3 linked regions of the Stegostoma tigrinum genome follow. The protein of the gene in region 1 interacts with the protein of each later gene in a biochemical or structural test. Links are inferred from orthologs where the notes say so. Each region holds a gene or a part of one and is shown on either strand. Other genes may lie near its edges. The genes, in order: 5-hydroxytryptamine receptor 2A-like, lin7c and amyloid-beta A4 precursor protein-binding family A member 1-like.

Region 1 (10,684 bases):
TCCTTTACTTCAATCAACCTCAATTTTCTTGATAAACCTTCTAAGCAGTACTTCGTTGAATGCCTGTTAATATTAATTATACTCGAGAAGATTCAGATCAATAGTGAAGCCAACAGAAAAGCGCTGATGAGTATGTACAATGAAATGCTTGCTGTATTCGGAAGTTGGTTAGAAAGACTGTCATCCATTTCAAGGTGCACAGAGGAGTCCAGCTCCCAATTGGGTACAGGGCTTTGTGAAGAGCTCAGAGCTCATCCTCGCCAATACGGAGTTAGTGCTTGACTCTATCAGCACATGCATAAGCTCCGACCAGAATATCGTCTGATGGGCAATATCTTAGCTTCCAGTGCACAACAAACATCAGCAACTCTGAGCACAGGCCCATGTGGAAGTCAGCTGATTACTATCCACACTCAGAATGCTGACACCCCAGATGTGGATATCAGTGTTTAAAGGTATTGCAGCACATCATGACAGTCCAGTAATGCATTCTCCAACAAATTACTAGGACTGCTGATATACCATTATATGGAAATTGAGTGACCACATGTAGCACAGACCTGCTGTCTTCTTCCAGCAAGACAGCCTTCACCCTCTCATCACTGCCACTCAGTCAGCAGATAGTCAGCCCTGTCACCTATGCTGACCTTCTAATTGCCAGGCTACTCGAGGTCTCCACTGAAAGATAGCCATGCTGCAGGCAGACATGGCACTCTATAGGAGCACTCAGCATGACCAAGGAACATGGAAGCAGTCCACAAATGTGGAAGGGTAATCAGTTGATTTGTACGCTAAATGGCCTCAGTTTATTTATGCATTTGGTTTGGAACATGGTATCTTTTGTCTTTCCCTCGCAGCCAAGTGATGCTCAGCAACAGAGGCAGAATGAGGTATGATACTCTGAGTGCCGGGGTTGTATGGCCATAGAACCAAAGTGCAAGATTACAGGGAGGAAACAGGAGATTGGCCTTAAGTTAAAATGCTCAGAAAGCTGTCCAAGTGCCATCCTTCTTAAACTAGTTGATCCACAGGCAGCCGAACAGGGATGGGATATGTCGGTTGCTTCCTCTATTCCTCTTCCTCGTCCTTGTCATCCTACTCTACTGCCTGTCCTCATCCATATAGCCAGCGGCGAGGCTATGTAGTGTGCAGCAGGTCACCATGAAGCTTGACACTTATTTGTTAAGAGCTGCAGGGCTCCTGCGGATCACTTTAAGCAGCAGAGGCACTGGCCCCTGTAGTAATAGCAATGAAATTGTCAACAATCTTCATCATTTCTCCATTTAATCTGACAGCAAACCTCATGAGATCAGACATGCACAAGATGAGATGGAAATCCAGAAAATGCTGTCAGTGAATCTATGCACTTCCACAGGCTGCATTGTAGAGGTTCCTACAATCTGCAATCTCTGTTGCAATCAGCATTTGATAAGAAAATGTTCAAAAGGGACCTAAGGGGTGATCTTTTCACACAGAGGGTTGTGTGTGTATGGAACATGCGGCCAGACGAAGTGGCAGAAGTGGGTACAATTAAAATCTTTAAAAGATATTTCGACAGACACATAGGATAGGAAAAGTTTAAAGAGATATGGACCAAATGCAGACAATTGGGATGAGTTCAGTTTAAGAAATCTGGTTGGTGTGAACAAATGGGCCCAATGGCCTGTTTCCACGCCATATATAACTATATGACTCTGACTTCCAATTTATATTGTTAGTCATGCTGTGAAAACTCTAAAAAAAATCACACTGAATTAAATAAGTTGTAACTGGCTCCTTAAATGTGTACTAACTTAATGATCACTGATAATGTGTTATTTTCTTCTCAACCTGCACATTCCAAATCCATTTAATCTTGATGCATTCTACACATGTATGCCTGTAAGTTCTCAAGTGTTGCATCTGCAGTATTGTGTCAATAATTAATCCCGTTTGAGACATATTGAACCTTTACCGGCCCAGAAAAATGAACATTTTGTTTGTGAAATTCCAAATTTCCCAGTAATTATTAAAAAGAAGTATCTAAAAATGTAATAATCTATTCATTTTTTATTTTAAATTCAGTCTTAAAACAATCATTGGTTTAGTTTACTATCTGCACATTTTAATTAGATTTGAAGGGGTCTAAATGATTGAGAAACTTAACTGGGTGCCCATTTGCTTGCTGATGTCACTGCTGCTGCACCTCAAGACATCCAATCAGAACTAAATTTGAACAAATGTTAGGACAAGTCAAGTCCACACTGAACGGTTTGCTCAGTCTTTGTGGGGAGTTTTCAAGGCCAGTGGTTACTGCATCATTCAAACCATTTCGGGTCAGAATGGTCTTCACTATTACACATCATGTAGCAACAAAGCTTTCATTGATGTATAGGGGCAGAGATAATGGGAACTGCAGATGCTGGAGAATCCAAGATAATAAAATGTGAGGCTGGATGAACACAGCAGGCCAAGCAGCATCTCAGGAGCACAAAAGCTGACGTTTCGGGCCTAGACCCTTCATCAGAGAAGGGTCTCTGATGAAGGGTCTAGGCCCGAAACTTCAGCTTTTGTGCTCCTGGGATGCTGCTTGGCCTGCTGTGTTCATCCAGCCTCACATTTTATTATCATTGATGTATAGGGTGTTCAATTAGCCTGGATGGCTGTTTTGTGTACAAAGTATTACCTGTAGCATGGGTTCAATTCCTGCACTACCATGCAACCTCATCCCCTTGCCTGAGGTGCAGTGACCCTCAGGTTAAACTACTACCAATTGTTTCATCTAGCAGCTACTCTCTGATTTCTCAGTGTGAGGTGTGCACACAAATGGCACAGCAAATAAAGCCATCATTACAGATCTCAGGCTACTGAACATTGGCCTGCCTGATACACTGTCTATGCTCCCATACTAGCTAGACATTAAGAAAATGGGTGCCTTTTAGTTGTTGCATGTTTCTAAGTAGTACCTGCAAAGTGGACTGTTGTAATCCATGTCATCCTGCACCAATGGGAAACCTGCAAAATTGTATACTTGTTCCACCTGCGTTTTTTTTAAATCTTTGGCAAGATAGCATTCAGTTATCTTGTATTGCAGAACTGAACTGACTTCCCTTCTGCAATCGTAGATGATGAATGAGGAGAACACCAACTCCCACTTAGAAGGGCCTCAAGGCAATTATGCATGCCTACAACAGCCACTAGTAATGCTGCCCTCACTCTGGTTTGAGTTCCTGGCAGATTTCAGTGTTGGTGTTCTTTCTTGTTGGACATAAGGGAAGAGATTGGATTCCTGAACATCCTAGGTGGATGTGGCCTCCTGCTGAGGGTCCTTTTCCCACTCCTCACTCCTCACCCTCTTCCATCAGCTTATTATCCCCTGTGCCACTTGGTCAAATGGAATGCACACTAATGAAGCCACACTTGACTGTGTGTGTGTGTGTATGTGTGTGTGTGTGTGTGTGTGTGTGTGTGTGTGTGTGTGTGTGTGTGTGTGTGTGTGTGTGTGTGTGTGTGTGTGTGTGTGTGTGCACAGAATCCTTGAAATCAGAACTAAGTCCTTCAGCAAGTGCTGCATCACTCCATAAAAGTGGCACTGAAACTCTCTTAGAGAGCAGAAAAGTCAGTCAGCAATTAGATTATAAGTAGTTGATACCCTTCTAAATAATGCTGATGGGGGTCATTCCTTCTGCTGTAAGTGTTTAAGAGATGGTATTGCCTGGAATATTAAAATCCAGGGTGATAGCACTACCATTTAACTGGTGCTATGTGTTGAATAATGCCACAGTCTGATATCTCTGCAAGCTTCCTCTGGTTGCCCCTGAGTGTATGGTAGTTCTCTTACTAAGCTGTTGCCAAACATGGTTTGCACCAGAAATGAAATTAGGCACCGTAAATGCCATTTTGTTGTATAAACAACACCTGTGGCTCTAAAACTCCAGGCACGATGGAGCTGAATTCAGTGGCCTAATAAACATAATTACTAAATTTGCAAGTGCTTGTTAATAAAGTTATTCCAATGTTGTGCCTTTTGATCTCTAATTAGGATACTGTATTCTCTAAATTGCATATGCAATATCAAATTATAATTATACTTCATCTTAAATACACAAGCAGTGCAATTACTGCTGTAGTGACATCCATTCACTACTGAGAATTACAATATGATGAATTGTCCTCTTGCGCACAGTACTAAAATCTGACTAAGAGCTTCTGTTGTTGGAGAAAGAAATTAATGATCTTACAGGCCTCAACCCATTCACAATTCAAAATGAGCTGATCAATGCATTGAAATGTGTTGAATATTTTGCAAAACCCTTTGCCAGGTTCATAAAATCCCAAATAGAACTTACCGTAGAGAATAGTAATGAGCGAAACTGGCATAACTAAAATTCCCACCAACATATCGGCAACGGCTAGCGACATTAGGAAGTAATTTGTGGCATTCTGTAGCTTTTTCTCCAGTGAAACTGCCATGATCACTAATATATTGCCCCCCACAGTCAGTACGATGATGATGAGAATCAACAAGGCTGGCCAGTTCTTTTTTGAGATGTTTGCATGAGCGACGTCCTCTGGCTCTGAGGCATTGAATATTTCCCCTGTAGTCAAATTCTGGTTCAGGGTACGAGAACTGTTGATGTATCTGGCCATGAGAACACTATACCAATTGAAATGCAGAGACACAAAATGGAGCGATTCTGGAAAATTGTGAAGTTCTTCTATAAATAAGGTATGAAATGCTCTGACGTTTACTTTTGTGAAACACCCATGTGAAAGGGAAGACTACCTCGAGCAGTTGGACACATGAGAAGATGATTCATCCATTGTTCTGTGAGCATTCAATTCAGAAGTCAGGTATTTTAAGCGTTCAAGCATTTTTGTATCTGACAAAATGAGTAATGATAAACTGCCTGTAACAGTAGGGTTCTCAATGTTTTCACCTGGGTTACTGAATGCAAAGTGAGAGATTTTCCTGTTTCACACCTCTTTCAGAAGCAACCACAATATCATCACAAATGATGTCAAGCTCCTCAAGTGGCTTATGTTGTCATCCCATTTTCTCAAATTTTATTTTCTTCTCAGATATGTATTTTTGTTTCTCAGTCTCTTCTTCTTACAATCAACTCATTAACATCTAAGCAAGATGTTCTTCCAGTGCTGAATGACTCCAATTCTGAAAAGAATCACAATTACAAGGTTATTGTGTTGTTATTCAATTCAACACTTTATTATAAATATTAATTCAATCAAAACTTGGCATTCCTACCTGCATTCAACATTCAATGAACAGTGCCCCATGTCCTTGCAAAAAATGTAAGAATACATCTCCTACCTATGCAACTACTATTCTTCTACATTTGTTCATTCATTTGAGTTGCCTGTGAAGCCAGGTTTCAGTAAATGGCAGAAGGATTGACAATTTGTCACAATCGCTGCCAAAAATATCAATGCACATTGGCAAGAAATTTACTGAAGTGCCAACGCTGATGTATTTTTCATCTCCGTTGTCCTGATAATTATCTTTTTCATGAGTTCATTAAATTCTGTTTTATCCATTACTACCTCACACAGAACAAAAGGGAAACATTAACTCAGTATGTTCCAAATTACTCATGATAAGATATTTTAATTATGTGCCGAGCTTATGGTGTATTCTTTTTAATGTTTTAACATTGCCAGCTGAGGCTTGTACAAGATGAAAACACGACAAACATAATTTTGCGCCCAATGTGGAATGTCATTTGCTTTCTCAACCAGAAAATTGCTTCACAATGTCAATACCACTGAACCGATTTAACATGTCGGTCAACAAGAGTATGTGTGGATTCGGCTGCAAAAATCTTTTTAAACATGGTAGAAAGAGGTTGAGAATTCTGTGGTGTGTAATTCATCTAGCTGCACAAAGCTTTTAGCCAGCTTTTAGGCACCAGCTAGGAGTGTGATGGAAAATACCCCACTTCCCTGGATGAGTGCAGTTCTAACAACTAGCTTAATGTCATCCAACAGTCAAAGATGACAGCTGATGGGCAATTTCTGAAGAGCAACTAGGAATGGGCAGTAAATGTTGGCCCTGCCAGTGAATGAGTTGAAAACAAGTTAAAGAGGAGCAACAAATGCTGGCATAGCCAGCAACATTCTCCTACCATGAATTAATTTAAAGAAGGTATAAAGAGAAGTTTAAAAGCCTAATAGAATGTTGGCTATGATGTGAATCTCTGTGTGGATTACAAAGAGAAGGAAGTTGTAAAGTCTTAATTAGGCTATACATGGGATGCCGCATTAAGTTTTAGACCTCAAGAAGTGTGCACTAACCTTGGAAATTTGTCACACAGATTCATCAAAATGATTCCTGTTTATGGAGGTTGAACAACAAGGCTGGGCTGTACAAATGTGACTTGAGTGTCATGGACTGAGAGGCCATCTGATGGGTGCTCTTTCAAGTATTAGAAGGATCAAGTTGATTGATACAGGAAAACTAATTCCGTAATATCGAATTGAAAATGAGGTGACTTGGTCTTAAAATCAGGAATCACTTTTTCACTGAAGAACAGTTCTACTTGATTGTGTGATAGTCCTTCCATGAACACATCATCGCAGAACATCAAGCAAGTGGACTGCATTTTGCAAAATGTAAATCAAGTTCCAAGTTAAAGAACAAGGTCCACCACAACTAATTGAAGAGCAAATGCTCATGGGCCACAAATGCTGATCTTTTGAGCAATGTTCATATCCTAAGAATAATAATTGTTAAAGGCAAACTGTTTGTGGCAGCAATTTCTATCACATGAACTACAGCCAATACTAGTAGAGATGGGTTCAAGTGTCATTTGCCCATTACTGTAATAAACTCCCTTAGTATTTGGCTATGTCTTGCAAATGAGAGAGGCCAGGAATGTTATAAAAAGCACAGCTGTCTCTCCTGCTGCAGTTAGCTGTTGAACTGCAGGTTTGTTGGCCTATTGGGAAGCAGGGGTCTAGAAGACAGCATACCTTCTGTGATGCACCAACTGTCTGGCAGAAGAGCTGCAGGCAACATTAAACTTTGATGTCACTGATAGTGCATCACAGATGGTTGCTTTTGCCTGCAGGACTGACTTGACCAGATGAGAACCCTGTGCCTTCAATATACCCAGGTTGGTGAGTGACTCTGCTGCAGCAGACTTGAAGAGAGAAGCAGCTTGCTCTGAAGAAGGGTCTAGACCTGAAACTTCAGCTTTCTTGCTCCTCTAGTGCTGCTTGGCCTGCCGTGTTCATCCAGCTCTACGTGAGATGATGTGTTTTGGGAGAGCTAACATGAGGAGTGGTAGAGCCCTGGGAAGTACAAAGAACCAGAGGGATCTTAGAACATAGAACATCTTGGTGTGCATACCCGTAGATCCTTGAAGGCAGTAAAAGCACAGACCATGTAGTTTAGAAGGCATATGGGATTGCTGCTTTTATGAATCAAGCTATGGGATACAAGAACTAAGAAGTTCTGATGAAGATGAATATAATGTCAGTTATGCAACAGCTGGAGTACTGTATGCATTCTGGTCACTACACAATAGGAAAGATATGACTACATTAGAGAGGAGAGCCACCTGGACAATGCCCAGGCTAGAAAGAGTCAGCTATGAAGAAAGATTAGATAGCCTGATGTTGTTCTCCTCAGAGCAGGGAAGGCTGAAAGGTGTTCTGATCGAGGTATACAATGTTCCCAAGGGTATAGACACAGTAGATAGGAAGAAACTTTTCCTCTCAACAGTGGGGTCAATAACGAAAAAAAAAAAACATTTGAACAGGTACATGGAAGGGAAGGGTTTAGAGGGATATGGGCCAAATGCGGGCAATTGGGACTAGCTGAGTGGGTGCCATGGTCAGCGTTGGCCAGTTTGGGCCAGTTTCTATGCTGTAGTACTCCATTAACCTATGACAAAGGGGCACAGTTTTAAGGTGAGCAATAGAAGGGCGAGAGGGAATTTGAAATTTCTTTTTAACCAAAAACCTGTGGGTACTTGGAATACGTCACCTGAAAGGGTTGTAGAACTGGGGATGGTTAACTCATTCCAGAAATGTTCGGATGAGAACTTGAAATGTCATTGCAAATAAGGCTACAGAACCAGGAGCTGGAAAATGGGATTGAAATAGCTAGATGTTTGATGATCTGCATGAACACAATGGGCCAAAAGGCCTATTTCCATGCTATAAAACTGGATGCCTCTATCTATAGGATGCAAACCAGGACCAGATCTCCTATCCTGCTGCTCTTGTGACAGAGAGTTGCACCCAAGCTGTAAATTTCTTCTGCACTATGTGCTTGTCAATGCTTGGGTAATATTTTTAATTTCCAGATTAATTTTCTTTTTGTTCCCTTACCCTATGTACGTTACTGATCTTTAACAATGTGTTGAGCGTCCGCACCCAAAATTTTAGGATGGAACAAGACTTCAAAGCAAAGGGTATGATGTCCCATTGTTCCTTTGTAAAGTCCCTATTCATCTTTTTGTTAAATGAACATTATAACTCTTGGTAATTTAAATTAATTACTTGGCATTTATTTTATTGCTGTAACAAAGCATTTGTTAAGTATCTGTACGTACTTAAAACAAATTATAAGTTAGTGCAATGCAGCTGAATAGAACATAATTAGTATGTAATGTAATTAGCAAAATTGAAGGCTGTGGAATTAAAGGGGTACTGGAAGTGTGAATAAAAACTTGTCTAATGAACAGAAAATAGTGGTAAAAGGCAGTTTCAGATTTAAAGGGAATGTACAATGCTGTCCCACATGGATCAGTATTATAACGCCTGCCATTTTTAGCATCTGTTAATGACCTGGACTTGTTAGGTAGGGCATAATTGAACATTTTGCAGATTACACAGAACTCAGAGATATAAGTAAACAATGAAACTGTGAAGACGCTATTAGCAGACTTCAGTAGGATGTGGGTAGATTGGTTAAAGTGGTAGATACATGCAGAGAAGTGTGAAGCAATGCATTTTTGTAGACAGAATGAGGAACGGCAGCTGAACTAAATGGGATGACTTTAGAACACAAAAGCAAGGAAGTTATGCAAACCATTTTGAAAACGCTGGCTTGCCTTTAGCCAGAGAAATGGGCTGAATCTTACATTTTTTAGTTACGTTTGCGTTGCATCAATCTTTTTTCAGGGAAATCCATTGTGAGACCTAACGGGTTTTCTTGCTGTTATCTTACCAAACTCATCTCATTAAGTACCTACTCCTTTTCTACAGCATTTTTAACGTCCAGTTCTTCCCCATCTTACCACATGGCACTCCCAGGGCAACTCGACATTCAGCAGATCTATGCTGAAAGATGTCATTGCTTGCATCTGCACCATCTCCAAAAGGCTGCTGTGCATCCAGATAAGTGCTGGCTTTCTGAAATTGCCCCGCTCGGTCAAGGGTAGACTATGGATGCATTGGAGAAGGGGTAGGTGACGCCATTATTCCAGGACAGGGACTTAGAGGTCCAAGTCAAGGAGAAGGGTCAGTATGATCTCCACCATCTGGAACATTGGAAAGCAATGTCATAGAAGCTGCATGATCTGCTCTGCTGTGTCAGTGCAAGTGCTACCATCTTCTCCCTGCTGCCTCACACTTGTGGACTTTGGCATGTTCACAAGGTCCTCACCAATGTCTACAGTCGCACCATTGAAAGAAAACTGTCTGGGTGCATAATGGCCTGGTATGGCAACTGCTCAGTCCAGGACGGTAAGAAACTACAGGAGGTTGTGTGCACAGGCCAGACCATCACAGAAGCCAACCTTCCATCCATGGACTGTAATTACACGGCTCACTGCTGCAGAAGGGCGGCCAACATCATCAAAGACCCATCACACCCTGGTAATGATCTCCTATAATCTCTTCCATCAGGCAGAAGATATAGAAGCATGAACACGTGCACGAGTAGGTTCAGGAACAGCTTCTGTCTGTCCATTATCAGACTGTTGAATGGACTCCAGACTCAACTAATGTGACATATATGCCTTTAAGTCTTTTTGATCTGTACTTCCTTTGCTTGCTGTGATCTGTCTATAATGCACGTAAACAAAGCTTTTCACTGTATTCAGTACATGTGGCAATAAATCAATAAATCAATTAATCCATCTTTCTGCTATGGCTCACACCTCCCACCAACTTTCATGCTCTGTAACTCTTACTATTGCCTGCACCATCTTCTCTCACTTGTGCTTATTCTCCCAACTGCCCACACCACTAATTCCTCATGACATCGGTACAGCCTAATCACTCCCTGGGAATACCTCAACACCTTACCACCCACCTGAACTAGCTCAAATCACTATGCAACCCATTTTTATCACACTCAATCCCTTTCTTGTTCTCATTCCAGCTCACAATAGGATGAGGGGAGCCTATGCTGATGGAGGGATGCCAGACATGTCCCACACGATGGGAGATACTTGTCCATCACATGAGAAGACTAGGAGTGCTCCTGCAGGGTTGCTATGTCCTGACAACCAAGTAAGTACCATTCTTAATTCCACTGCAGCTCTCACAGTAATCCTGCTGCCAATGTTGTTCATTGTACATCATTGCCCACAACACTGTCTTCTCCCTCGCTCATATCTTTCGTGTCCATCACCTACATCATGAAACAGCCAACTGCCCAAAAGCCAACTCCTTGACCTCAGAGGACACGGGGTGGTGCATAGATGGAACAAGCTACCAGAGGAAGTGGTGG
Region 2 (11,260 bases), on another chromosome or scaffold:
ACTCTATGGACAATTTAGCAAGGCCAATCCAACTAACATGCACATCTTTGGACTGTGAGAGGAAACAGGAACACCCAGTGGAAATCCAGGCAGACATGGGGACAACATGCAAACTCCACACAGACAATCACCCAAGGTTGGAATGGAACCCAGGTCCCTGGCACAGTGAGGCAGCAGTGTTAACCATCGAGCCACCATAGCACCCTGTGATCGACTTTTAATTGTCCTGTGGGCAATTAAAGATAGGAAATAAATGCTGGCCTTGCCATTGATACTCAGATCCCGAGACACACAGACAATTTGCAGCTACAGAGCAACTTACATGCCATCCTTAGTTTAGCCTGCTGCTGTTTGGACTCGTCATGTCTGCTGGTCAGATGGCATCATCTTGGACTTGGCTGGTTAGCATACTCAGCTCCTAAAGCAAGAATGCACCATATGGGTGCTGAAAATGAGTGCAAATTTAAATGGATACACAAAATGAAAAACTTCATTGGATATAAAACAATAATGCCTCTTCAAAGTAATCTTCTAAAAACTGCTAGGAAATTGTAAAAGCATTTATGCTGGCTACTCACTAGTATTTTTGTCCAAAGCAAAACAAATTGAAAGCTAAGTAACTTAACTGGAAGCAACTGAAGATAAGTGAATTCTTATTTTTTCAATGAATTCACAATTTGTTTGTGAAATGTATGAGACATATAAAGATCAACTCAGAGTAATCATATAGTTGTATAATCAGATATTTGTCTGCTTAACCAAAAAGGGTAAAATAATAGAAAATAGACTACTAAAAATGTAATTGTGAGTTTTTAACACAACTTGGTTTCAAAATGTGTCCATATAAACAAAATATTGCTTAAGAAAAGATATGCTTCCAATGGTTTTCATTTCACATTCATCAGGATAGATGCAAGAATACCAAATTTCAAAGGGACGAACTGATGGCCAACAATTAATACTGCATGAGAAAAAGTGTGCTGATTGGTTGGCAATTAGTCTTTGATGGCTAAGGAATTGCATAGAGAACACTTCACGTATCAATTACCCCTAAGATTTTGCTAATATGTTAAAAAGGGTTGAGCCATCTCTTGTGGCCCAACTAAGTTCATTTTGCTTTGGTAAATTCACTTTTGGCCAAGTTTATTACCAGATTGTCTCTTTTTTATAAATGCATTCACAGAATGTGGGTGTCACTGGCTAGACCAGCGTTTTTTGACCATGCCTAATCACCCAGAGGGTGATCACATCTCTAAGCAACCACATTACTGTGGGTCTGGAGTCACAGATAAACCAGACCAGGTGAGGATGACAGTTTCCTTCCCTGAAGGACATTAGTGAACTGGATGGGTTTTTCCTGATAATCGACAATGGCTTCATGTTCGTCATTGGACTCTTAATTCCAGACTCTTTATTCCAGCATCTCTGCCATGGCAAGATCTGAACCCAAGACCCCAGAACATTACCTGGGTCTCTGGACTAGTAGTCTATTGATGACACCAATAAGTCATTGCCTTCCTATAATAAGCCATCAAACAATTCATTGATAATGGGAACTGCAGATGCTGGAGAATCCAAGATAATAAAATGTGAGGCTGGATGAACACAGCAGGCCCGGCAGCATCTCAGGAGTACAAAAGAGAGCCTCTGATGAAGGGTCTAGGCCTGAAACGTCAGCTTTTGTGCTCCTGAGATGCTGCTGGGCCTGCTGTGTTCATCCAGCCTCACATTTTATTATCAAACAATTCATTCTAGTTTTGTAAATGTTCTTCTCAGGTTTGACTGAACACAACCACATCCTCTCTCTCTCCTATATGCATTACATGACAAAGCTGCAGTGACCTTGTTAGATAATCATTGATTCATCGCTGATGCATTTTTCATTCTGAAAAGCTTAACTCTATAAAGATAACGTCCATCCAGCTTTATAAAAGCTGATACTTCTTTGGCTGTGTCAGTCAATGGAACTTACTGATATCCCTTTACAAAAACATTTTTCACTAATGAACTGTACTCGTCCAGTCCTCTCAATACAATCCTCTAATTGTGCCTTTGTTGCTACATTTTCACAGAGACAATCTTTACACAATGTGATCTGTTTGGTTTCAGCATTCAATTTCATGGTTATTTTTGTTTCAAATTAAGTGAAATATCTTTCAACTCCATCCTCTGCAAAATTTGGCTCTAAATATGAATTTCCATTTAAATCAATTCCCTCAGTAGAATCGTTATCATCCTCTAATCTACCTCTTCTTTCTTCCTTTACCCTGTTTCTTTAGTCAATTCATGTTGTGTGAGATCTCACTCTATTTTTTCCCTGCCTTGATCCTTGTTCCCTCTTGCCAATTCAAGCTTTCCTATTTCTACCTCATCTCTTTCCAGTTGTCGTCATTTTTCTTTCTATACTCTTTCCATTTATTATTTTTTCTTTCAAATCGACTTATTATATTGCTCCTTCTCTCCCTTAATTTCTTGAATTGAAGTTTTTCATTTCTAAGTGAATCTTACTGCATTTTAATGACCACGCATCACGTTCAGGTTTTGCTCCTTTTAATTTCAAGCAATGGGCAATCACTTTCAGAGTATCATCTTTATGATATCCTGTTCACATAGACACCCCAAGATGGCGGCATCAGCACATTGGGCAGTGTTCAGGCTCCTGAGCCAATCCGCTTTAGGCCGGCTACATCCTCCTCTTTCTCTTCTTTCTTATCCTTTCCTTTCTCTTTATTTTCTTTTCTTCACCTTCAGATGTCTGGGGGAAGCCGGAACAGTACTCAGCGGGTCATTGGCTGTGGCGGTGGAGGTGCTTGGTGCAAGGACTTTTGGCTGCAGTGGGCCCAGACTATGGACTCGTGAACTCAGCGGGCCATCGTCTGCAATGGTGGTGGTGCCCCAGTGCGGGGTCTCTTGGTGGCAGCAGGTCGCTATGGCAGAAACAGTACCCGGAATGGGGACTCCTGGCTGTGGTAGGCCTGCAGTACAGGGACTCCTTGAGGCCTGGGACACCTTGCAGAAGCTCTGAAGTTGTGTCTGGCGACACTTTGTACAGAAGATGTGCTCTCTTTATGTAATTTATCTTTATTCTTTTCGTAACTCAAAATGCTGCCGGATTGTAGCAACAAAACACTTCTCACTTTTTCTTTCTAGATATATGTGACAATAAATAACTAATTTATTTTATTTCCCCTACCTCCAGTTTATATGCCTACTTTCTTAGATTTGCCTAATCTCTAAAGATTTCAAATAATCCATTGTTTCATCTTCTATTCCCAAAGAAATTGTTGCAACTTTCAAAGCTATTTAAAAATTCTGCTCATTTATAATATGCTTCATGACAACTCTTCTGTTTCTATGCTCAGTGCCTCCGTGGTCTAATTTTTAAAGATTCACATAAAGCACTTAAATTTCAATATATCTGCTACTACAAGTAGCCACCACTATTTTATGGTTCCAGCTGATGGTAATATTAGACAAATCAGATCCCAGAGTTAGACCTGGCTTCATAGACCATAAGTTTGATTTTTCTTTCTCTCAAAAATCAGAAAGAAAGATTCATCCATTTTACTTCAGCAATACCCTTACAGGGACTCAAATCTCAGTGTAAGGTAACCCCAATTTTCATTCTAATGCTTCTTGCTCACTTGGAATGGCTTATAATCATTTTCTGTTTTTACAAGTTGCTGCATTTTCATTAAATGTCGTTTTCTTCAGATATATCTTTTCCAAAGACCTTTGAAACAAGCTGCTAACTCAGCTCACAATTAGTATTTACCATGGATTCCCTGATCTTTACATTCACAGCTTTTTGCATCTGGAGCTGTCTTCTTACCAACCTTTAAGAATCTTGAGACTTCTCCAAAGCCCTGGCTGCTTAGAAATTCATCAGAAAAGCACCTTTGCTGCTATAGATCTCTTCTGTCTGTATGCACCTGCTCTGACACCTTGTGTATTTGTCTCTGCATCTTAAAAAACAAGTCAACAAATTGTTATGATCGGAGCTGATGTTATTACTGGAGAAGTCAGATCCCAGATTGAAATCTGGCTTTATAGATCATATTTTAAGACCATAAGAAATAGGAACAGGAGCTGTTGAGGTTGCTCCATCATTCAGTAAGATCACGGCCAATCCAACATTCCTCACATCTGCTTTCCTACATTTTCCCCGTAACCCTTGATTCCCTGACTGCTCAAAAATCTATCTGTCTGAGCCTTAAATACACATAATGATTCTGCCCAGATAGCTCTCTGTGGCAAGGAGTTCCAGAGAAACACAGCCGCCTCAGAGAACACAAGTGCACAATGTTTAATATTTAGTTTAACAATAAAATAGAAGTTTATTGTGTAAAATAAAATAAAATAAAACAAAATAAGTCAAACTATTTATATATAACACCATTTTTAAAATTTTGAAACACACAGTAAAATACAATATTCCATCTATCTTAACACACTCCTTTCTGCAAAATGAGCACATGGAGAAAACGGCTGACAAAGTGTCTCTTTTTCAGCAATATCTAAGTCCCGTACTGTCAAACACCAGCTAATAACTTATTTTTGATGAATCTTCATAAAATTAGCCTTATTTCTTCTTGTCTGTACCAGACTATATCCCTTGTAAATTTTATTCCTGTGCTTGTGTGTGTGTTTATTTAATATCATATTTTCACTTTATTTCCTCAGGGTTAGTCGATAATAAAATCCTTTTCTTTAATTCAAGAAATTGTTGATAATTGGGTCTGTAATTGTATTACAAATTATGTAATAATAAATAGCTTTGTAATAAAAGCAGAATAAAAATATTTGTTGTGACTGACAGGGTTAAAAAGAGAGGACTTGAATGAGCCCATCTGATGACAGGCGGCTGATCGATATGGCTTTGTGCTCTTGTGAAATCGACAGCACAAATCATGAATTCCTTGTGAATGACATAGTGAGAAGCTACTTGTTAAAAATGTGGAGTTTTACTAACATTGCTACTATTCATTTTGACCATGGAATGATGGAACTCTCATATCCAGTTTCCAAATAGTTTTTGGCCTGTTTCTGAGCATTCACCTTCCATAATTCAATGGTTGTAACATAATTGGGGCAGCATGGGACTCAGTGGTTAGCACTGCTGCCTTACAGTGCCAGGAACCCAGGTTCAATTCCATCCTCTGGACATCTGTGCAATGCCACAGAAGTTCCAAGCCTGTTTCTGACCTAATTCCATAAGGAAAAACCACCCTGGACAATCAAAGAAAACATTATATTTTAAACAAAAACAGAAATTGCGAGAGAAACTTGTTTTTTTTAGTTATTTGTTTTGTTTACTATGATTTTAAAGCCAGGCTTTTTCTCCGCTCACTCTCGCACCACTGTAACACCATAAGACCATAAGACATAGGAGTGGAAGTAAGGCCATTCGGCCCATCGTGCCCACTCTCCCATTTAAATCATGGCTAATGGGCATTTCAACTCCACTTCCCCGCACTCTCCCCGTAGCCCTTGATTCCTTGTGAGATCAAGAATTTATTGATCTCTGCCTTGAAGAAGTCTAACGTCCCGGCCTCCACTGCACTCCGTGGCAATGAATTCCACAAGCCCACCACTCTCTGGCTGAAGAAATGTCTCCTCATTTCCATTTTAAATTTACCCCCTCTAATTCTAAGGCTGTGCCCATGGGTCCTAGTCTCCCCACCTAACGGAAACAACTTCCCAGTGTCCACCCCTTCTAAGCCATACATTATCTTTTAAGTTTCGACTAGATCTCCCCTTGACCTTCTTAACTCTAATGAATACAATCCCAGGATCCTTAGCCATTCATCATACATTAAGCCTACCATTCCAGGAATCATCCGTGTGAATCTCCGCTGGACACACTCCAGGGCTAGTATGTCCTTCCTGACGTGTGGGGCCCAAAATTGGACACAGCATTCTAAATGGGGCCTAACTAGAGCTTTATAAAGTTTCACTAGAGTTGCCACCAATATGTTTTGGTAAAAACCTAGACAGTGCCTTCAAGATAAACTTAGAAAAACATACAGTGCTTTAAAAAAAATCCCAAAAGAACTGCGGATGCCTTAAATTAGGAACAAAAACAAAGTTTGTGGAAAAGCTCAGCAGGTCTGGCAGCATGTGTGGAGGAGAAGACAGAGTTAACGTTTCCGGTCTGGTGACCCGAAGGGTTCTGAGGAAAGGTCACCGGACCTGAAACATGAACTCTGTTTTCTCCTCCACACATGCTGCCAGACCTACTGAGCTTTTCCAGCAACTTTGCTTTCGTTGCTGTGTATAGACCATTTTAATCTCAGCAATCCCTAGATATTTACATGATTATATTACCTAACTTGTCCTTGACATTGTGAAACAATACAAGTTGTTTTTCAGGACAATGTCATATGAGCAACTAAAACATACCACCACCCTTTTACAGCTATACTTTTACGTCGTGAAAAAACCTACACAAATGCAACACAACGATGACTCAATTTCCAAACCAAAATGGCGATATCTACCCATGCACACGCATGGACTGGGTCTGGTGCCAAATCCAATGATAAAATCATTCTATGCAGTTTTGGCATGATCACTGTGAGATGGAAGCAGATTTGGTTAATGGCAATAATACAGAAAAATTACAAAATCTAACATTTAAAGGCATAGATTTGCTCCAAATTTAACAAATAAACGTACAGGTAACAGAACAAAAACTGAAGTTGCTGGAAAATCTCAACTGGTCTGGTAGCATCTGTGCAGAATTCAGAGTTAACACTTAGGTCTAGTGAGCCTTCTTCAGAAGAAGGAGTTCTGAAGGGTCACAGGAGCCTAATCATTAATTCTGCTTTCTCTGCACAAAGGTGCTGAGATTACCCAGCAATTTATGTTTTTGTTTCCAGTATCTGCAGTTCTTTCGATTTATTTTTTATATATGCAACAGAGGCTTGTGAAAAAACAATCCTAGAGTTTAAACGGGAAACCGTAGAAACATAGATAGGACCCAAAAGAAAAGCTATATGTGGAAAAACACAGCAGTTGCAATCCGGGTGGCTCACTTGGTACGAAATGTGACCGAAGGTTGAGTTCAGGGCTCTGAGTGGGTTCAATGCGTCCTCCCAGCCTGCCGGTGGCGCTGTCGTTACCGGAGCGTAGCGACGAATAAAACGTTTGTGGCTCGTCTGGAGACGTCACTTCCGGAGTGTCCGTTTATTCTGTCGTTTTGTTGTGGAATGGCGTTGGTGATGGAGCCCATCAGACTGGACAGAGGTAGGCCTCCGCCCTCACTGTCCTTTCGCCAAGCTGCCATCTCGGGGTGGGGGAGAGTTCCGGTCACTGCGAAGGCATAAATCAAATTGAGTCGAACGAGCTATAAGGTGCCTGAGCCAGGCTGCTGGTACAAAGGTGGACCTTCTGGCTCCTGGGTTACCTAGACCCTTGGTTACGCCTCAGGAGTGTTTCTCAGAAAGGCTTTTGCAGCTGGAAGCTGGCGAGACAGGTTTTTGGGGAAGCAAGCTCTTCCTTCCTCAGGGAACCAGCACTACCTCCTCTTTCCCTCCCCTCCCCCAAACCAAGGGGTAAATGACAAGTCAGGCTTTTACAATTTTCAAATCGAACTGAGAGACTGGAGATCTGAAACAAGTAAAACCAGCAACTGTTGGAGAAACCCAGTTCTGAGGAAGGGTCACTGGACCCGAGATGTTAAGTCTGATTTTTTTTTTCTTCACTCATGCTGCCAGACCTGCTGAGCTTTTCCAGCAGCGTTGTTGATGTTGTTGTTGGAGAAACTCTCTAGGTCCGGCAGCATCTGTAGATAGAGAAAACAGACAACTAGTTCTGAAAGAGGGTCATGGGTCTTGAAATGTTAACCCTGTTTTATACTCCACTGATGCTACCAGACCTGTGGAATCTCTCCAACAATTTCTGTTTTGTTTGTTTAAAAATTCCCATGATTGTTTTCAAATCCCTCCATGCCATTCCCCCTCTGTGAACACCTCCACTTGCTTTTTTCTGCCCCCACCCTGAAAAAGTCTGAGATATTTGGACTCCGTAATTGTAGTCTCTTGTGCACACCTGATTGTAAATGGCTCAAGCGCCAGTGCCTTCAGATGCTAAGCTGCTAATTCCCTTCCTCAACCTCTCCATTCCCCATCCTTAAGGAAAAGGAACAAGTGTGACATCTTTGCTTAACAAATTCCTTAAAACCTTTTGCCTTTAACCAATGAACTTATGATTAACTCTCCTCATATCCTTTGGTTGCTCAATGTCAAATTTTATTTCATGCTGTTGTAAAGTATTTCAGGATGTGTTCAGATCTCAATGGTACTGCAGTTGTTGAATATCTGTTCAGAAAGGATTCTTGTCTAAAAAAAGTTCTTGCATTCAGGTTTTTTTAAAACTTCCACTGAGACAGACACTTAAGCTGTCTTTCTTAAAATTTGCAGCTTTGGTATTGCAACAGTCTGTCGGTGCACTGGACTTTATTTTAATGGAAAAAAGTAGTTTCTTTGGAGTAAAATTTAAGGTACAAAGTTGTAGCAGAAATATTGCTGATCATATCTGGTTTGTTTTTAGTGTAAAATTAGGAATGCATAGATCAGCAGGGAAGGAATTTTAAAACAGAATTGTAGATGCTGGAAATCTGAAACAAAAACAGTGCTGGAGAAACTCAGCAGGTTTGGCAGCACCTGTAGAGAGAAGGAAGGAAATTTGTTATCCTTACCTGGTCTGATCAAATCTCATACTGTACACACAGCAACATGGTTGACTCCTAACTGCCCTGTGAAATGGAAATTAATGATGGGCAATGCCCATATCCCATGAATAAATAATAAAAGTTGTATTTGTAAGTTAAATTTGGGGTGAACCTGTGTTTGTTCGACATGAAAGTTACAATAAAGTGGTTACTTTACACGGGGCAGAGGATGACTTTGCGGGCATGGCAACTTTCCGGAAGGAAACATTAATGTAATAGGGGAGAGTAGATTTTAAAATGTTCATTTTGTTCTGTAATTTTGTAAAGTTTGACTGAATTTGATGAACATCTTGGATTGTGAATCTGTAGAGTGGACGGGAACATCTATCAGACATACTGGCTTCAAGATGAGCTTTAAACTGACTGTCTAGAACCTTGAGACCCCATAATGTATTTCAGATGAGAGTTGGGAATTCTGTGTCCTGGGTAACGTTTGTCTGTAAATCAACATAATTAAGGCTGGCTATTTATGTTTCTATTCATGGCTCATTGCTATGCGCAAATTAGCAGATGTCTTTCTTATTTTGCTTCTCAAACTACTTAATTGGTTGTGAGGTGCCATGGGACAACAGGAGGATGTTAAAGCTGCTATATAAATCAAATTCTTTCTTTCTTTGATGCAGAAATACCATTTCATTATTTGAAATCAATTTGGCTGCAAGTGAGTGAGGAAGCAATGCCCCTGGTGTATTGTCTGTGCTAATTTAACCAAATGTAGGAAATGGGTGGACAGCTACTTCTAATTCCAAAAGGAGACTAATGGAATTAGGGTTAGCAAAAGAACTGGAAATAATCCCAATGGGGACAATAACCAGTTTGTTTCAGATTTTAAAATAAAGATTGCTAGAATAAAAAACTAAAAGTAGTGTCATAAAATTTGAAAGCACGCTTCATTTCCAAAATAATGTGTAGCAGTCACACTATTTTTCAGCGGCTTTGGAAGATGTGTACGTCATAACAACAACCAAGCACGGATACTGAAACACTGATTACTGTAGCAAATGGAGATTACTGTACTCTCGTTCATAAAGGTAGTTATCCACTGAATTGACAACAACAATAGTGTTGGTATTATTCTGGTAGTATTGACATGACCATACAATATAAAACTTGTGTATAAAGACATTTTCGACTGTCTGTCACCCAGACGTGTACTGTTTCACTACAATTGTTCATTGAAAAGTCAGACTTTTCTCATGAATCGCACATACACCCACAGAAAAAGCTTTTTTGCAGTAACCAAAATTCAGTTGCTTGAATCATTATTTTTGGACATGGTTAAAATGTAAATAATAATAAATTTATGTTAAACTCGAAATCAGAAGACACTCTCTTTAAACTTGTGGCTTTATTTTATGGTTGAATGGGCCGGTTAGCACAGTTGGATCGATGACTAGCATGTTCAAAACAAGTTCAGTTCCTGTTCTGACTTAGGTAGACTTGGGACCTGCTCCTTGCCTGCCCCATGCTGGTTGTAGAGTGATGCACCTCAAGCATCTAACCACTTGGCACATATCTCTACAAGAAAGAGACAACTACCTACAACCCCTTGTGGCTAATTAGCTCACTACCCACTTTTCAACTTACTTTGTACTTTGATCTGACAAAGGAATCATCAATTTTTTTTGGTTTTATAGCATGGAGCTAACATCGCATGAAGATAGGAAACATATCTTGCCTGTATTTTTTAAATGTATCTATAAATTTGAGGAATCATTTGTTTGAGATTGACAGTCAGCAAGCACTTCTGCATAAAAGCAGAATTTCAAACAGAAGTGCAAATCAAGTCTCCAGCTCTGAAAGTAGCAGAGGGAGGACCTTCAGATAGGGCCAGATGCCTGAAATTAAAACACTGGAACACTGACCAATAGAGGACAGCAAGATTTTCCGATTAGCACTATTGTGTGTGGATAAACTACCACAACTGAATAGGACAGGCTTTTGTTACGTATGTGAACTAATTGCAAAGAGTTGGTTTGGGCTGTGTATCTGACTGCATTTGAATTTGTGCTTGACTTTCCAGATGTTTCCCGGGCTATTGAACTGCTGGAGAAGTTGCAAAGGAGTGGAGAGGTGCCACCGCAGAAGCTGCAGGCTTTGCAAAGGGTACTTCAGAGTGAATTCTGCATTGCCGTGCGCGAAGTATGTCCCTGTACATTTTCCCCTCTATATGATGTAGAATAAAGTAAGAAAGCTGTTTAAAGACTATTGCACTTAATAATTACTTTTATGCAAAAATACAAGCAAACATTTGAGAAATATCATGTACTTTCAAAGGCTGTAAAATGGTTATGTCAGTCTAATGTAGAATAATCCAAATTGGTCTTAATTGTAGAATAGAATACTGGAATGTTCAGTGCTTTATGATTTTAAGATGATAGTTAAATGCTGAACTGCATAAAATAAAATGGTGTATGCAGATCTTAATATGAAAATATCTTTAATAAAAATTATCCCACCTCTCGCCACCATAAACAACAGATTCTTAAAACCTGGTCTTTTGAATACCATGATTACCTAGCTGGA
Region 3 (10,583 bases), on another chromosome or scaffold:
GACAGTTTAAAAGGAGGGCTATGATAGAGAAGAGAAGGAGAGGAGAAGAGGAAGACAGAATGGTGGATACACGTATGGAAGGAATTCAAGAGAGCAAGGCCTCGGCAGCTGAAGGCACACCAATGGTGAAGCGATTAAAATCTGGGATATACAAGGTGTCAGACTGGGAGGAACGCATAAATCTCAGAGGGATGTCGAGCTGCAGGTGGTTCAGGGACAGAATTAAAAAGGTGTTTTTAAAAATGTGCTGCAGATGTCACAGGACACAGAATTTACTGTGTAGAGTTTAGGTTTCCTTACACAAGCTGGAATTTATTCACAATGTAGGAGGTTCAAAGATAAGGGCTGTCTTCTGAGGCACAGTTGAGCAAGCTTGGCTGATACTCACTGGAGTTTAGAAGAATGGGAGGTGACCTTGTTGAAAGTCAGGACACGTGGTGAGGAGGTATTTCCCATTGAGAGAAAATCTTGAACTAGGGGACACGGTTTAGAAATAAGGGATCTCAAATTTAAGACAGAGATGAGGACGCATTTCTTCTGTCAATGTAGCATTAAATTGCAGGAGTTCTCCAACACAGCGGCACTGGAGGCTGGGTCATAGAATATACTCAGGGTTGAGTTAGATGGATTTTTATGGGGGTCAAAAAGGAAAATGGAATTAAAACCAAATCAGCTATGGGCTTATTCAATTGTGGAGCAAGATCTTGAGATGGAACGACTTCTCCTGATCCTATTTCTTACGTCCTTATGAATTCCCCATGGCAGCCTGTTCAGAATAAATGCCTTTAGACTCTTTACGTAGATGTTGACAAAGTAATGCAAATTACAGAAGGCAGGCAGGACAGTGAAATCAGATTAGATGGTTCATGTGGAGAAAAAAATGTGCATCAACTTGACGGGCCAAATAGCCTCCTTCCGCGTTACAGCACCATACTACACAATAATACTGTCACATGGTGAAGGGATAATTTGACTTGGTGAACACCACACTGGTATTACTGATTTCCGACACAGCTGACAGAATATAGATGAGAGTGATTAATAGAATTCCACTCCAAGTACAAAAGCCAATTAGTTTTAAAGCTTTTCTGTTATCTTATTTGTACGTCTTAATTCGTACCATCAACAATTTCATTCAGGAACTTGCCCATGTTGGGACAGCACCTTTAAAGTAGCAAACATTCTAGGTCAAAGCATTATCAAAGCAAATGTGACACTGAACAAATAACAGATTTTTTTTGTTATCCTCCCATGGGATATGATATGTGCTTTGTAGCTGATGGACAGTCCTTTGGGAATCGGGATTTTTTTTTCATTAGATTAGATTCCCGACAGTGTGAAAACAGGCCCTTCGGCCCAACAAGTCCACATCGCCCCTTGCAGCATCCCACCCAGACCCATCTCCCTAAAACCCAAACACCCCTGAACACTACGGGCAATTTAGCATGGCCAATCCACCTAGCCTGCACATCTTTGGGCTGTGGGAGGAAACCGGAGCACCCGGAGGAAACGCACGCAGACACAGGGAGAACGTGCAAACTCCGCACAGACAGTCCCCCGAAGCTGGAATCGAACCCGGGTCCGTGGCGCTGTGAGGCTGCAGAGCTAACCACTGAGCCGTTGTTAGTTACTTATCACAGAATAACTAGCCCCTGGCCTACTATGGCCTTTCCAATTCAGTTTCTGGTCAACGGTAACCCTCAGCATGTTGACAGCAGGAGATTCAGCAATGATACTCTATTGAATTTGTAGGGCAAATAAAATTTGCAACTCATCATCCCAAGCCTCAATGATGTCCAGGTTTTGCTGCGTAGGGACACAGGGGCCACTTCAACATCCGAGGAATCATGAATCGTGCTGAAGATTGCGCGATCATCAGGAAACATCCTCACTGCTGGCCCCGTAATGGGCGGCAGGTTTTTGATGAAGCAACTGAAGATGGAGGGGCATAGAACCACACCCTAAGGAACTCCTGCTGAGATGACATGGAGCTGAGATGACTGACTTCCAAAAATCACACCATTTTTCTCTGTGTCAGTATGACTCCAACAAATGGAGTGTTTGCTCCCTGATTCCCACTGCTTCCAGTTTTACCAGGGCTCCTTGATGCCACACTCAGTCAAATGCAACCTTGATGTCAAGGACAGTAACTCTCACCTCACCTGAGGAATTCAGGTCTTTGTCCATGTTTGAATCAAGACTGTAATGAGGTCAGGAGTTGAGAGGCCCTGACAGAACCTGAACTGAGTGACAGTAAGGTCATTGTTGAAGCTGTACCGCTTTATAGCACAGTTAATGGCACTTTCCATTACTTTGCTGATGATTGAGGGAAGACTAATAGGGCGATTGGAAATGGCTGAATTAGACCTCTGCTGTTTTCCACATTGTTGGTTCGATGTTTGTATTGGACTGTATTGGCTAGAAATACAGCTATTTCTGGAACACAAGCATTTATTATCACAACTGAAATGGTGTCAGGTCCCACAGCCTTTGTAGTTTCCCATATGTACTTTGCCCTTGCTGGGTAACCAACTCAGTTTACATTGTGTTACAGTCTGGAGTCAGTAATGACGTAATTTCGGGAGCAAATCCAGATGGATCATTTACTCAGCACGTCTGGCTTCAGATGACTGTACACTGCTAGTTGTGGAGAATACCTTGAAGGAGGGGAGAGAGAGAGAGAGACAGAGAGAGAAGTAGAGATATTTATGGAGGGAATTCCAGAGCATTGGAATTCCCACCATATGCTGTGATGATTATTAAATAAAATTGGGGCTGTTCAAGAAGCCAGAATTGAAGGAGCACAGATATTGCAAAGAAGTGTACAAGTGAAGGACATTACAGAGACACAGAGGGGTAAGGTGATGGACGGATTAGAAAACAAGGATGAGAATTTTAAAATTACTGTGTTGTTTAAGCATAAACTGCTGAGTAGTAAGAGAATCAAGGGATAAAGAGTTAGAACATGAAGACGACTTTGAGGTATATGATCAGATATGATCTTAGCAAACGGTAGAGCTGGTTCAAAGGACTGAATGGCCTCTTCCCAGTTCCCAGTGCTTCCATGAGGACTGGAGTTATGGGTGAACAGGGTCTGGTGTGAATTATGCACATAGCAGGGGATTGGTAAGCTCGAGGAGATTGTAGGCACAGAATAGGCAAGTACGTGAGGTGATTTGAACACGAGGATGATAAGTTTAAACCTGAGGCTCTGGAGACCAGTGAGCCAATGTCAGTCAGCAAGCAGCAGGGCAAGAGACACTTAGTGAGAGTTAGGATGCGGCCAGCGTAGCTGACACTTACGTAAAGTGGAAAACCGGGAGCTTTCCAGGAGAGCAATAACATAGTTGAACATGAAGATGGAAAAGAAAAGAACATGGGGTTCCGCAGCAGATGGACCGAAGCAGGGCCAGGACAGCTGACCTCGTGCAAGCAAGCAACCTTTATGATGCACAGGACATGTGATCGGAAACTCAGCTCACAGTCAAAAATGACAGCAAAGCTGCCAACAGATTAGTTCAAACGGAGGCTTTTACTGGGGAAGGGGTGGTATTGATAATGAGGCAGCAGAATTTGTGGCGCTTTTCAGTCTTCTCGTATTTCACCAAAGTGTGGCTTATGCAAGTCTGGATAGTGAACAAACTGTTTAACATCACAGACAGCCAGGCAGAGCTGCGTATTGTAAGTATACATCTGGAAGCTGACCCATGTCTGCACACATCAACAAGAAGCAGCATGTTACTGAAGAAGTCCTTCCTTCAATCAAACATTCACTGAATGAATGGAATCTGTTATTAGCAAAAAAGTGGACACTAGTGACGGGGTTGAACATTTCAAATCCTTTATCTCCCACAGATCGGTCATCAGCTTTCAATCTGTATACTATCATGGACTATATCATTCACATATCGTACAGATATCTTTTACCTTCCTGACTCATTCAAGTTATTATTGGCTAATGAATAAAAAGTCCTTCAGACACTTGGTCTAAATTCAATAGGACGCATGGTGAACTACATACAGTATTAATTTTTTTAACCTGAGTGAAGTTATGTGAAATGGTAAAACTGGCATTCCATCAGCAACGATGGCTACTACAACTGGTAAAAATGTATAAGGAGATGTGTTTTTAGATCATCGCTTGAGTTATTGCTGCTAAACAGTTACAATTTGCAAGCCAAATAATGTAAGCATTTTAGCCTTTAAAAACAGAGGAATTGTTCCTGCTTGATCTTGGGAGAATTCATAGTGAGTTTACAGGTTGGCTTAAATGGTATCATGTATGATACCTTGTTGCTGTAAGATAGATTCACCACCCTCTGGCTTAAGAGAATGCAACGTAGGTTTGCTCTCCCCAACTCCCTGTTATCACATACTTGTAAACACACCAACGAATGAAACGCAAAAACAAGATCTTAGAGAGGTTTTCTGCTCGCAGTCTGCCATATGCCCGCTACTGTACATTCTCAGGAAAGATGCCATATCAACACAACAAAGCGTTACTGCAGCATGATCCTCAATAAACTGAAGGGCGAGAATAGCATCTTCACAATAAGATGGACCATCTCTTGGATGTCCCAGTCAATGAACAATTCAGAATAAGAAAAATAACTGGAGGAACATACGCATAATATCTAAGTTAAAAATACACTTAGATTGTTCTGCTTTAAGCGTGCTGTTATTTTGATGCGTTTATTTTCTTACATGAAAGTGTACAGGGGGTTTCTGCATCCTTTCTCCCACCTTTTTTACATTTGTCGCAAAATACTCTGCAAATGACTAAAAGCGTTTTGCAAAAAAAAATGAAACTGGGAACCAGAAGCCTGCTGCTACATACCTGTGATTCCTAAAGCCCCTCAAGATCTGGACGTGATTGCATTGCGCGCACTTTGCCCGTTTTCTTGCAATTGTTTAAAGCCCTCTAGCTGCCAGCTGATCCTCCCTGTGGTTCTTGCAGAGACACACTCAGATTTGCAGAGGCACTCAGGCAGGAAGTAGCCCCGGTGTGCGAAGGCGCTGCAGGGCGAAGTGCGCCTGCGCGCAGTCGCCGGCTGCTGGACCGAGGACCGTGCTCAACGCGCAGGCGCCGGAGCCGGGCCCGGTAAGGTCCATTACTGCGCAGGCTCGGAGACGGAAATGTTTCTGATGTTTGTTCTTAAGCCAGTGGTCACTCTCTCACTAAGAGGGCCATTCCACCACCACAATGGTCACTCTGCCACTTAAGAGGTTCACTCTCTCACTAAGAGGGTCACTGTCTCACTATGGGGGTCACTCTTCACCCCCACAATGGCCACTTTCTCCTTAAGGGGCTCCTCCCTCACTAAGGGGGTCACCCTCCACCCCCGCAATGGACACTCTTTCACCAAGGTGGTCACTGTCCACCCCACAATAGTCACTCTCTCACTATTGGGGTCACTGTCCACCTCATAATGGTCACTCTCTCACTAAGGGGGTCACTCTTCGTCACCACAATGGTCACTCTCTCACTAAGGAGTCACTCTGTCACTAAGGGGATCATACTCCACCACTGCCAGTAGTCATTCTCACAATCAGAGGTCACTTTCTCACGAAGGGGCTCATATTTCATCTGCCCCAGTGGTCACTCTCACACCGAGAGGTCATTCTCCACCACACCCCAGTAGTCACTCTCTCACTAAGGAGGTCATTCTCATACCCAGACATCACTTTCCACCCTCAAAATGGTCACTGTCCATTCCCCAATGATCACTCTGACACATTCAAGGGGTCCTTCCCACACTCAGGGCTCGCTCTGCACTCCCCAGGGGTCACTTCAACATTCAGATGTAATTCTCCATTTACCGCAAAGGTCATTCAGGAGTCAATCTCCATAGATAGCAGGAACTGCAGATGCTGGAGAATCTGAGATAACAAGGTGTAGAGCTGGATGAAGCAGCAGGCCAAGCAGCATCGGAGGAGCAGGAAGGCTGATGTTTCGGGCCCTGAAGAAGGGTCTAGGCCCGAAATGCCAGCCTTCCTGCTCCTCTGATGCTGCTTGGCCTGCTGTGTTCATCCAGCTCTACACCGTCAATGTCCATAGTTCATGTGTCATTGTCAGACCCAGGGGTTACTCCCACACTGAGGGTTAATCTCCATCATCTACCAATCACTGTTGTCTTCAGATTATACTCCGCTCTTGATACTGCAGTCACCTTTCAGTTCTTGCAAGTTTCCCAATGACGGGGGATTAACATGGTAACATTACAAGTTTAATGTCAGCATGAGGTTCAATTCTGCATTCTATGTCACACAGTAAAATTTAGATTCCTGGAACCCCGTAGAAATGTGCTCAGAAACAGGATGGAGAAATAATATTTGCACTTTGCAGCTCTCTCACACCCTCCCTGCCTGCAATTCCTAGGTCATTGTAAGGGTTTTATGGTCTCTGCCACTTTTCCTTGAGGACAAACTAAGATTATCATTAGATTCCAGAATGGCCATGGGGAGTTTGTTTAAATTGAAAACTAGTTTCTGCATATGGATTAAAGAGGAAAGAAAATCGAGACTTTCATTTCTACAGCACCGTTCACCACCTCAGGATGTTGCTGAGCTTTAAAGCCAATGAATTACATACATTTAAAGACAGAGCAGAGACAGAAAACTCATCAGTTGTATTAACTGGGCTGGTAAAGTGACTGATACTAAAGGGTAGCCACAGGGTCTGAATAGGAAATGGGATATGTTGTCAGTCCTTATGAGTCATTTGCAAATCTGATACAAAGGTAAAGCTGCCATAGTCCCACTGTCTCACCATAGAGAGACCACTGGTGGTGACTTAACCTCAGACAAGGGCAGTCCTTTATGGTAACCACAGATACTGTGGGAAATGAACCCACACTGTTGGTGTCACTCTGTATTGGGAAACCAGCCATCCAGCTAACTGAGCCCTAAGCTAGCCTGATGATTCTGCCTGGTTGTGAACAGGGAATGTTTTGCGTATTCAGTGAATGTGACGGCCATTGCACCATAGAAACCTTGAGAGAACCTTGAGGTTTAGACCTAAAATTTTTGTTTCACATAATATTTTGCACAAACAAACAAGCCACTCAGCCCAACAGGTCTATGCTGGTGTTTATGCTCCACATGGATCTTTATCTATTCCTTCTTCATCTCACTTTGTCAGCATAATCTCTCGAGTCCTTTCTCCTTGGTGATCATCCACCTCCTCCTTAAATGCAGAATAACCCAAAAGATGCTAGAAATCAGAAACAAAAACAGAAATTGCTGAAAAACTCAGCAGAAAAAACTCAGCAAGTTCTGAGGAAGGGTCATTGGACCCAAAACATTAACTCTGCTTTCTCTCCACAGATGCTGCCAGGCCTGTTGAATTTTTTTTAACCAGCAACTTTGTTTTTTGTCTTCTTAAATGCATCTACACTAATCATTTCACTTACTCCTTGTGCTAGCATTTTTTCTACATTCTGGAAAATTTCACACACTACAGAGTTATATACATTTACACCATTTAGTAAAATTGGAAGAAATCTAGGAAAAATGCTGTGATGAATTTATCATTTGTATGAAACGTGCAATACAAAATGTAAGGAACCTTGTCTTTTTTGCATGGTCTTGCTGAATCAAAGTAAGCATAGGATTGCAGCTGCTTCACTGTATTCCACCTCTCCGGGTTAATGTGGTTATAGTGAGTGATGTCTCTCAGCTCTGCAGTAGCAGCTGCAGTTTCTCCATCCTTCAGCACCATACTACACACCCCAGTGTCAGGGATCCTAAGGAGAAACTACCTCCTGTGTCGACAGTGAAATAACTGCTGCAGAACCGCCATCAAAAGGGCTGTAATTTGGTTAGTTTAGTGCATTATGTTAATTTTAACCTTTTTATGAAGAACTGCTTAGCAATCTGTGATATGTGCTTGTCTCTCTCTCTTGTTTAAATGTACAGAAATCATTTGTTTCTGATACCAAACATTCTAGAGCAGGGAATGAGCACATTTGTTTAGTTCAAAATATTTTGTGAAGAAAGTGAAAATGCATTGTTCTGTAATTGCTTTCTTTCAGTTTTGTTACTGCCTATCTCTCATTTGAAGCAGTTGTAATTTTAAAATTATGTTATAGTCCTTAAAAATGTTAACTGATACAAGTGGAATCTATGTTCAGAGGTTAAATGGAAAAGTAGCAATGGAGAAAAACTGATAAGCGACATTTTAAAAAATATAGTAATACCTTTTGTATTAAACAGGGCAATCTTGCCTTCAAATGCTGAGGCCTTAAGCTCTGGAATTCTGCCCTTGAGCCTCACCTCCATTTCTCATTCCCCTTTTGAAACTAACTCTTTGATCGTTTCAGTCTCCTGCCCTTCTGCAGCTCAGTGTCAAATTTTGAAAAACACCTGTGTGGACAGTCTATTGTGTTAAAGACACAAAATAAATTATTATCCAGCATTTGATAAAACTCTTGCCACCTAATTCTGTGGTCACGTAATAAATATCAACTTTTACTATTTCATGTTTGTGAATGATTGCACACATAAAATTACACAGAATAAAGGGTTCAGAAACAGGATTGTTTGGCTCTAATCTGTTCTGGTGTTTTTTTTGCTCTACTCCAGCTTTCTCCCATCTTACCTCATCTAAATCTATCCACATAACCCTCCAGTCATCTTCCTCATGTGATTGTCCAACTTCCTCCTAAATGCGTCTGTACCATTCTCTTCAACAATCCTTGTGGTCGAGTTCCACATTCTTTGAATGAAAAAGTTTCACCTGTATTCTCTGTTGGACGTCTTAATGATTGTCTTGCCTGGGTGACTTCTACTTATGCTGTTCCCCCACAAGAAGAAACTATGTTCCCACTCCATCAAAACCCTAAGTCTCTTTGCTTTTGTCAATACAGCATCTTCTAAATGCTAAATACCAACTGGGCTTGTGATACAGTGCACTGAAACAGTGGCAGCTTGCCACAGCACTAATTGAGATTGACATGGTTAAGAAGCCTGTTTCATGGTAAAATCCTACAACCATACTGAATTAGAGAATTTGCACAGTTAATCTATAAATCCAAACACATCTGGTCTTTCAGCTACTCTGCAGAGAGTAGAATTCTGAATATAGAAAATATAATTATATCAAAAACCTTGAGCATTTCCTACTACATTACAAATTCACTCGCCAATTTAAAAATTTTTAAGAGATGGCTGTTTCTCTGAAATGTTCCTGCTGTTGGAGCCCAAATATAGTGTCATAAATGTACGGTGGTAATTAACAGGGAATTCACACCTTTTTTACCCAGAGCATGGTGAGAATGTGGATAAGAACATAAGGAACAGAGGCAAGATTGGACCATAGGGTCCATCAATCAAGATGATTGTAGCTACACTTTCACCTCAAACCCATTTTCCTGCCTGGTTTCCATATATTTTGCCTTTCCTAGAATCCAATAATATTTAAATTTCAGTCTTGACTCCTGCCTGGAGTCACATAGAGAGGATGAAGTGGATAGTATGGATGTATTTAAGGGGAAATTAGATAAGCATGTGAAGGAAAAAGGAATAGAAGGAAATGCTGCTAGTGTGAGATAACGTCAAGGCGGAGGAGGGTTCTGTGGAGCTTAAGAACCAGCACGGACAAGTTGGGCTGAATAGCTTGTTTCAGTTCTGTGTATATTGTGTGATAGGGTCAGAGCATTAAGTTATTATGTGTTTGTAACATGGAACTCCTCTTTCACAAGGGCCAAAATTCACAATCAGAAATTCCCAAAATCTTTAATTCATGCTGCTTCCCTCAATCTCTCAACAATAGTTGCAATAAATATCTAGGGTAAATATCCCTCAAGCTCCACTGGAACATCTTCTGTTCGAATCAAGTTGTTTTCAACATCCATCTGTGTATTCATAGCAACCTCCCTCATCCCTCTTACAACCCAGGTAATGACCATGAGACACATAGTAGCAGAGAAGACAGGAGCAGCAATAGGCCATTTGACCCCTTGAGCCTGCTCCACCACTCCATATCATCAAAGTATCAATATCATCAAGCTCCATAATCTCATCCCACACTCCTCCTGTATCTCTTGATCCATTTATCCACAAGAGTTATACCTATCGCTTTCTTGAAAACATAATTGTTTTGTCCTGAGTCACTTGCAATGGTATAAAATTACACAGACACGGGAGGAGAAGTCGGTTATTCAGCCCATTGAGTCTGCTTCACCATTCGGTGAGATCATGGTTGATCTAATAATTCTCAATTTCACTTTCTTGTCCTTTCCCCAATAGCCCTTGATACCCTTACTCATTTAAAATCTGAGCCTTGAATATACTTGGTGATCCAGCCTCCACAGCCTGCTGCAATAAAGAATTCCACAGATCCACTACCTTAAGAGGAAAGAACCTCTTCATCTCAGTCTTTAAATAGGCAATCCCTTACTCTGGGATTATTCCCTATGGTCCCAGACTCTCTCACAATGGGAAACAACCTCTCTGCAAATCCGTTAAGAATTGCATATGATTAAAAAAATGTTGCCTTTCATACTTTTAACTCCGATGATTACAGGCCCAACCTACTCAACCTCTCATCATAAGAAGATCCCTCCATACCTAGAATCAATCTT

The links.
Region 2: the proteins of 5-hydroxytryptamine receptor 2A-like (region 1) and lin7c form a complex in vitro, tested with the Homo sapiens proteins (2 studies listed by BioGRID and IntAct, with this or other methods). The link is inferred for Stegostoma tigrinum from reciprocal best matches to the Homo sapiens genes HTR2C and LIN7C.
Region 3: the proteins of 5-hydroxytryptamine receptor 2A-like (region 1) and amyloid-beta A4 precursor protein-binding family A member 1-like form a complex in vitro, tested with the Homo sapiens proteins (2 studies listed by BioGRID and IntAct, with this or other methods). The link is inferred for Stegostoma tigrinum from reciprocal best matches to the Homo sapiens genes HTR2C and APBA1.

Annotation. Positions count from the first base shown.
Region 1 is NC_081368.1:62,023,472-62,034,155, forward strand, and holds the start of 5-hydroxytryptamine receptor 2A-like, read right to left. Parts: upstream 4,839-10,684; 5' UTR 4,630-4,838; coding exon 4,329-4,629; intron 1-4,328. UniProt on the Homo sapiens protein: G-protein coupled receptor for 5-hydroxytryptamine (serotonin).
Region 2 is NC_081370.1:53,125,782-53,137,041, reverse strand, and holds the start of lin7c (protein lin-7 homolog C), read left to right. Parts: upstream 1-7,133; 5' UTR 7,134-7,211; coding exon 7,212-7,248; intron 7,249-10,757; coding exon 10,758-10,876; intron 10,877-11,260. UniProt on the Homo sapiens protein: Plays a role in establishing and maintaining the asymmetric distribution of channels and receptors at the plasma membrane of polarized cells.
Region 3 is NC_081356.1:28,369,906-28,380,488, forward strand, and holds the start of amyloid-beta A4 precursor protein-binding family A member 1-like, read right to left. Parts: upstream 5,011-10,583; 5' UTR 4,838-5,010; intron 1-4,837. UniProt on the Homo sapiens protein: Putative function in synaptic vesicle exocytosis by binding to Munc18-1, an essential component of the synaptic vesicle exocytotic machinery. May modulate processing of the amyloid-beta precursor protein (APP) and hence formation of APP-beta.